2 linked regions of the Mus musculus genome follow. The protein of the gene in region 1 purifies or fractionates together with the protein of each later gene. This does not show direct contact. Links are inferred from orthologs where the notes say so. Each region holds a gene or a part of one and is shown in the gene's direction. Other genes may lie near its edges.

The links. Proteins that work in one complex are often made in the same cells at the same time.
Region 2: the proteins of Mcm4 (region 1) and Sf3a1 fractionate together in Homo sapiens (co-fractionation; 3 studies listed by BioGRID, with this or other methods). This does not show direct contact. The link is inferred for Mus musculus from reciprocal best matches to the Homo sapiens genes MCM4 and SF3A1.

Annotation. Positions count from the first base shown.
Region 1 is NC_000082.6:15,627,342-15,630,990, reverse strand, and holds part of Mcm4 (DNA replication licensing factor MCM4), read left to right. Parts: intron 1-470; coding exon 471-730; intron 731-1,323; coding exon 1,324-1,689; intron 1,690-2,270; coding exon 2,271-2,398; intron 2,399-3,134; coding exon 3,135-3,342; intron 3,343-3,649. UniProt on the Homo sapiens protein: Acts as a component of the MCM2-7 complex (MCM complex) which is the replicative helicase essential for 'once per cell cycle' DNA replication initiation and elongation in eukaryotic cells.
Region 2 is NC_000077.6:4,158,979-4,162,727, forward strand, and holds the start of Sf3a1 (splicing factor 3A subunit 1), read left to right. Parts: upstream 1-1,375; 5' UTR 1,376-1,509; coding exon 1,510-1,572; intron 1,573-2,067; coding exon 2,068-2,189; intron 2,190-3,749. UniProt on the Homo sapiens protein: Component of the 17S U2 SnRNP complex of the spliceosome, a large ribonucleoprotein complex that removes introns from transcribed pre-mRNAs.

The DNA of each region.
Region 1 (3,649 bases):
TGGTTTGCATTTGAGTGCTGGTTTTTTTGAAATTTTGTATATTGGGGTGAAAGTCAGGAAAACAGCTTATGGAAGTTCTCTTGTTCTTCCATGCTGATTACTAAGTAGATTCTTTTTACTTTTAACTTAGGGAAGTCACATTACTATATTAAATACTGTCATGACACAGCCTTTTTGTTTTTCACTTTGAACCTACAATTGTGTAGAGTAGTTATGCAGATAATTCCCTAAGCTCATACAACACAGATGGTTACAAATATGATTTTGGGTCTGTTCTTAAAAACCTGTGTTTCTTTGCTCCTTGACTATTTCTTCTGTATCTTGACTTTCTTAACGGGGGCCTTAGCCTGGGAGATTAAAAGGTAGTGGGGTGCTCAAGTGAGATGGAGCCCCCAGGTCTGACCTTCGCTGTCGACTGAGCTTACAGAGAAGTAGAGAGGTAACGTCATGTCTCCTACATATGTTCTTAGGCATATATCGAGCAGTACCAATTCGAGTTAATCCAAGAGTGAGCAACGTGAAGTCTGTCTATAAAACCCACATTGATGTCATTCATTATCGGAAAACGGATGCAAAACGTCTGCATGGCCTTGATGAAGAAGCAGAACAGAAACTTTTTTCAGAGAAACGTGTGAAATTGCTTAAGGAACTTTCCAGGAAGCCAGATATTTATGAGCGGCTTGCTTCAGCCTTGGCTCCCAGCATTTATGAACATGAAGATATCAAAAAGGTAACAATGGACTTTTTAGCTTGGTATTGAGATTTACAGTTACTTAGAATCAAGTAACTAAGATATATTTGCCACTGTTACTGTCTTCTATGGGTAGGAACTGTTCGCCTTAACATAGCAAGGCACTGACCCCTGCCTTGGTTAATAGTTGAGTGCTACTGTTTTGTTGTATATACACTTATCTGTGCTGTGCATATTCATGTTCCTAAACATTGGAGGTTATGTGGGGTCACAACAAGGATTCATGCTGGTCAAGTTGTAGGACAATATTTACTTAGGTTTATAATGGTTAGGAATATGTAGAATGGCCTGAGCACTCTTAGATGATTTTTGGTAATACTTTGAACTTATAAAATAGAAAAGTACCAGCCGGGCGTGGTGGTGCACACCTTTAATCCCAGCGCTCGGGAGGCAGAGGCAGGCGGATTTCTGAGTTCGAGGCCAGCCTGGTCTACAAAGTGAGTTCCAGGACAGCCAGGGCTACACAGAGAAACCCTGTCTCGAAAAAAGAAAAGAAAAGTACCTCTAGAACATAAGCTAAGCATATACAGTACAACAAATGACTGTTTAGATGTATTTATTTGTTTATTTAGGGAATCTTACTTCAGCTCTTTGGTGGAACAAGGAAGGATTTCAGTCACACTGGGAGGGGTAAATTCCGTGCTGAGATCAACATCCTTCTGTGTGGGGACCCTGGCACCAGCAAGTCCCAGCTGCTACAGTATGTGTACAACCTGGTCCCCAGAGGCCAGTACACGTCTGGAAAAGGCTCCAGTGCGGTCGGCCTCACCGCCTATGTGATGAAAGACCCTGAGACCAGGCAGCTTGTCCTCCAGACAGGTGCCCTCGTCCTGAGTGACAATGGGATATGCTGCATCGATGAGTTTGACAAAATGAATGAAAGCACAAGGTCTGTGCTGCATGAGGTCATGGAACAGCAGACTCTGTCCATTGCAAAGGTGAGTGCTGATGTCCACTGTGGCTGCAGGCTCACAACAGTTTGCAGTTACAGTTCTATTTTGAAACTTCTTACGTTAGTTGCTTTTACTCTGTAATATGTAGTGCTTACAAACCTGAGTTTGTGTTAAAGTTACTACCAGTTTGCTTTCTGATTTGAAAAATGTGGCTGGAGGGATGGCTCAGTGGTTGAGAGCAGTTGCTGCTTAGCCTGAAAACCTGGATTTGATTCCTAGCACCCACATGTGGCTCACAACCATCTGTCTTCGGTAACTGCAGTTCCAAAGGATCCAGTGCCCTCTTCTGAACTCTTAAGATTACCAGGCACACATGTAATACACAAACAGGCGTTCAGGCAAAACACCCAGTACATAAAATAATTTAAACTAAAAATGTGGCTGCAGAATAATTATGTCTAAGCTCAATCTTAGACGTGAATCTGAGCGCAGAGTACTATCATTATGCACTGAAGTCAGTGAGACTCTTGGAAAGCAGAACCAGCAGAGCAAATGTCAGATGAAGATGGTTTTCCTCCTCATGGGAGTCAGGAAAAGGCTTTTAACTCTACTTCTTCCTCTGATAGGCTGGGATCATCTGTCAGCTCAATGCGCGCACCTCTGTCCTGGCAGCAGCAAATCCTATTGAGTCTCAGTGGAATCCTAAAAAAACAACCATTGAAAATATCCAACTACCGCACACATTGTTGTCAAGGTACTAAAACATTTTTATATAATAAATGCTTCTGTTTGCTTATTCTTAGAATTGACACCTGGAGATTGAGAAGCGGTCGACAACTGCTATTAGTCTCTATACTGACATTAAACACTGACTCAGATTTGGTTTGTCGGGCCTCATTGGCAAGATTTATGTGTCTTAATTATTTGACTAATAAATTTGCTTTGTTTCTTGTGGTACTAGAGATTTAATGAAAGGCCTCCCATGTGTTAGGCAAGGGCTCTATCACTGAAGTACCTTCCTATGTCCTCAAAACAGTAGAAGGAGTTTTTATCCAAATACAATATCCAATTGTATATTGTATCCATTTCTCAGAAGAGAGTTATAACTTTTTTACTTTGCTCTTACCTAGGCAGGACTAGGGACTGGTCAGCTGGAGAAATGGCAGCTTTCTGTGGGAATATGTACAGTACAGTTGGCTTTAACACCTTTTTTTTTTTTTTTTTTTTTTTTTTAAAGATTTATTTATTTATTATATGTAAGTACACTGTAGCTGTCTTCAGACACTCCAGAAGAGGGAGTCAGATCTTGTTACGGATGGTTGTGAGCCACCATGTGGTTGCTGGGATTTGAACTCCTGACCTTTGGAAGAGCAGTCGGGTGCTCTTACCCACTGAGCCATCTCACCAGCCCCGCTTTAACACCTTTTAAGTCCTATATGTAGGTACGTTTTAGTGTCTCAACTAAGAAGATGGTATTTTTCTCTTGTCAGGTTTGATCTCATTTTCCTCATGCTAGACCCTCAGGATGAGGCATATGACCGGCGTCTAGCTCATCACCTGGTTTCATTGTACTACCAAAGTGAGGAGCAAGTGGAGGAGGAGTTCCTGGACATGGCCGTGCTGAAAGACTACATTGCATATGCCCATAGTACCATCATGCCCCGACTGAGTGAGGAGGCCAGCCAGGCTCTCATTGAGGTAACCAGGCTTATGAAACATAAGTTTGTAACTCTGGATGAGTTATCTGTTTCTCTTAACTTCACTTGGCTTATTTTTAACAAGTAAGAAGTTATAGAAATGTTTTGTCCCATTCCGGGGTTTCTACCCTGCCTGTGATCATTTGGTTCCCAGATAAAAGACACTCAACCTTTATATTTACGTTAAGCCTTAAACAGCACAAGAGCTGGGAAGATAGCTATCCTCTATGCTATTTTGTCTATTTCCCAGCCAATAATCCTACTATATAATTTGCCATGTTTCATCTGGGCTGCTCTTAACTCCAATT
Region 2 (3,749 bases), on another chromosome or scaffold:
GCAGTTTTCCTTGGCAGGTATCTCATGACTCTGGCATCTCTAACATCTTGGGGTCTCCAAGGCAACTTCAACTTTACAGCTTCTTAATCTAACTTTTATTCCAATGTCTGGGATCCACACATGATCTTTTGGGGATCCTCTAAAGGGCTGGCATCACTTCTCCAGCTCTGCCCTCTGAAGCACTCTAGGCTCTGCTTGACTCCAGCCAACTGCTGCTGCTGTTCCTGGTTATCATCTTATCGTACTGGCATCTCCAATACACTGGGGTCTACCACTGCAACTAGGCTTCACCAAGAGCCTCTCATAGGCTCTCTTCATGGGGCAAGCCTCAACTCCTTTGCATGACCCCTTCAGTCCTGGGCCATCAACTGTAACTGTAACTGCACCTTCACCAATGGCCTTCCCTGGCCTCTCACGGTGCCAAGCCTCAGCTGCTCTTCATGACACCTTCATGCCTTCAAACTAATACTGCCTGGGTAACTCTTACACACTGCCAAGTACAGCTGCAGCAACAACCATGGCTATCTCTGGAACACAGCTTCTTTGTGCTCTCAGAAAACACTTCCCAGAAGATTTCACCTCAGTGATGCTGGTCTCGTCTTAATCACTAATTTCTTAGCTCCAGCTAACCAGCATCAACTGTCCCAGCAATCCCTTCTACTCTAGACTCTAAAGCCAGAGCCACACAGCCAAATTCTGCTTCCTGTGGCTGGAACCTGATCCCCTTTATTATCTTACCAGCTTTCTGTTTTTCAACTCCCTCACTGCCTAAGCTTGGCTATCCTGAAACTTGCTCAGGAAATTGACTTTGAACTCAGAGATCTGCATGGCTTTGTCTCTTGGGATTAAAGATATGTACCACTACGCCTGAATTATGCTTTTCTTCATCTAGAACTTGCTCTGTCCCAGGCTGGCCTTGAACTCAGATCTGCTTCGTTTTTTGTCTCCTGGAATTAAAGGTGTTAGCACCATGTCCTGGACTCTGTAAGGAGGGATGCAGAGGAGGTGGTGCTGAACCAAAAAATGGGGCTAAAGGTGTAGTAAGTGGGACTCTATGGCATCTTCAAAATGCCAGGCCAAACAGGAAAGAAACAGGGGCGAGGGGTGGGGCGCTGAGGGGGCGAGGAACCGGCCAGAGTCAGGAGGGAAGTTCAGAGTCAGAGGATGTGGAATGGCTTACCTGTCTCCGGCGTCGCAGCCTCAGCTCTGTGTCTGTCTGGCTCACAGAACTTCCTCCAGAGCGTCTGAGGCTCCGAGAATGCCTCGCAACTCTAAGTTGGGAGCCCAGGCCGCTGCCTTGGCAACGGCGTACCGCGCCACGGAGCAGGCGGGGCGGGGCTGGAAGTGCGAAACGGCGAGAGGGCGGGACCGGAAGTGCTCCCGCGGCTTCTCTCTCTGGGTCGCCGCCATCTTGTCATTGAGTTGGATACTTCGTGTGGTGATCTTTAATCTTGTCGTCGCACCGGTTGTCGCCACCGAGGTGGACTGGCAGCCCTGAGCGTCGCAGTCATGCAGGCCGGACCCGTGCAGGCGGTACCCCCGCCGCCGCCAGTAGCCACTGAGTCCAAACAGGTATCGTGCCCCGCGCTCCCTGCCTGCAGGCCTGCTGGAGGCCTCGTTCCTCCCCTCCGCGCGGGCGCTGTGGCACTGCTGCTGGAAGCTCAGGCCACCCCGAAGGACATGGAGGGACTGCAAGTCCCAGGAGTCAGCGCGCTGAGTTGCCTTCTGGTCTCGAAAAAGATATCCCTAGAACCGGACTTTTCAAAACCAGCATGCGGACCTGCACCCCCGGCTTCCTCTGGGGTCTTATGTGAACCACGAAGCCTCCATTCAAAAAGAGGAGAGCTAAGCAAATCATTCTTTCCCCTAGATTAGGAATGGCTGCGTAAATACAGTATGGCTAAGGAAACTTGCCCTGTTTTGTTTTTAACTGCGTCCTCGGATGCTAACCCAAGAGAGTCTGCAGTCTACAGGACAGACGTTCCTGTCAGTATCATGGAGCGTTTATGATAGCCTAATCCGAGCCGGGGACTTGAAGCCCTTACTACCTTTTCTCTGTTTTCACAGCCAATTGAAGAAGAAGCATCGTCAAAGGAGGATCCCACCCCTTCCAAGCCAGTGGTCGGCATTATTTACCCTCCCCCGGAGGTCAGGAACATCGTCGACAAGACTGCCAGTTTTGTGGCCAGGTAACAGCTGCTTCTGCACAGAGGGAACTTGTAGTATAAAGGTCTTTTAAAGCAGCACAGGGGCATCATGGGGAGTTCTAGAGGCTCTGGCTTAGACTCCTTACTTCTTCCAAAACCACAGGAGAGCAATGAGGTAGGTGATAGATAGGACTGGTATGGTTGACATACCACAACAGTAATCGCAGTGAAAGCCATGCCTAGCTGTGTAGTCACTAGGAGTTTCTGCTTCCAAAACAAGTCTGTGGAAATTCCTGGTAGCTTCTTTGTGGCTGCTGATGTGCATATGCTGTGTTAACCTGAAGAAAGAAAAAGAAGAGTTGATTATTCTCATTGTGAAAGGACGACTTTCCCAGAGCCTCAGCTGAATCCAGAGCAAGCTGTTCAGCATGTTAGCTAGTTTCCAGGCAAGGTGAACATTGGTCAGGATTCCTCAACCTCCTCATCCCACATACTTCTGCACCCTTGGATGGAATCTTCTAAGGGCCACTTGACTTCCAACGGTCAACACATCTCCTGGCTTAGGGCACTTATAGAGTATTCTTTTGGCAGCCAGCATCATTATCCAGTCTGCAGATGTTTAGTTTGTCCTTAGAATCCTTAAAAGAGAAAAATCCTATTACCACACTTAGAAATGAGGTGATTTCACAGTCAGTCTGAATTTCTGGCTTTTCCTGAACCAGGCTGCTTCTTACATGGCAGAGCTTCTTGGCCTTGAAGTGTGTACAGGACGTGTGTTGTCCAGGACCCACACTTTGTCACTCCCTTTAGCGAGCATCCCTACCACCTTGAATCATTTAATACTGTTTTGTTCCCACCTTCCTAATGAAGTGACACATCAAAAGAGATTCTGATTGGTAAATTGTACTGTGCACACCGTGAGAGTTCAGATCACTTTGCAGACTTTAATTAATTTGGATTTTCACTGAAAAGATGCCTCACGATAGGGCATTGAGTGTTGTGTGTGATTGGCTAATATTTAATAATAACCCTAATGCCTTCCCCCCTCTCTCCTGTGATGCTAATAATTGGGGAAAGGCTGTTGCATAATGAAGAAGAGCAATCTTACTGTGAGGACAACCCCTGTCAGCTGTTGTCACCATTAGCTGTTTCCTTCTGACCATGGCATCCTTTTTAGATACAGTAATAGCAACACAAGTACTGTCATGTCTTGATTTTCTTTGCATGCTAAATTGGAAACATTTCCTAATTTTTAGTTTCCCTCATGCTGCATGCTTTCTATGGAAAGGTTGCAGTGTCCAGGCTATGTGTTTTCTTTTGAGACGGTTTCCAGTGTTTCCACTTGGTCAGTGAAGCTGTAAGAGGAGTTTGCACACTGTCTTTCCCTTATAGAAGGCTTCTTCTTTTTTGTTGTTGTTGTTGTGTTTGTTTGTTTGTTTGTTTGTTTTTCAAGACAGGGTTTCTCTGTGTAGCCCTGGCTGTCCTGGAACTCATTCTATAGACCAGGCTGGCCTCGAACTCAGAAATCCGCCTGCCTCTGCCTCCTGAGTGCTGGGATTAAAGGCGTGTGCCACCATGCCCGGCTAGAAGTTTTCTTTAGAA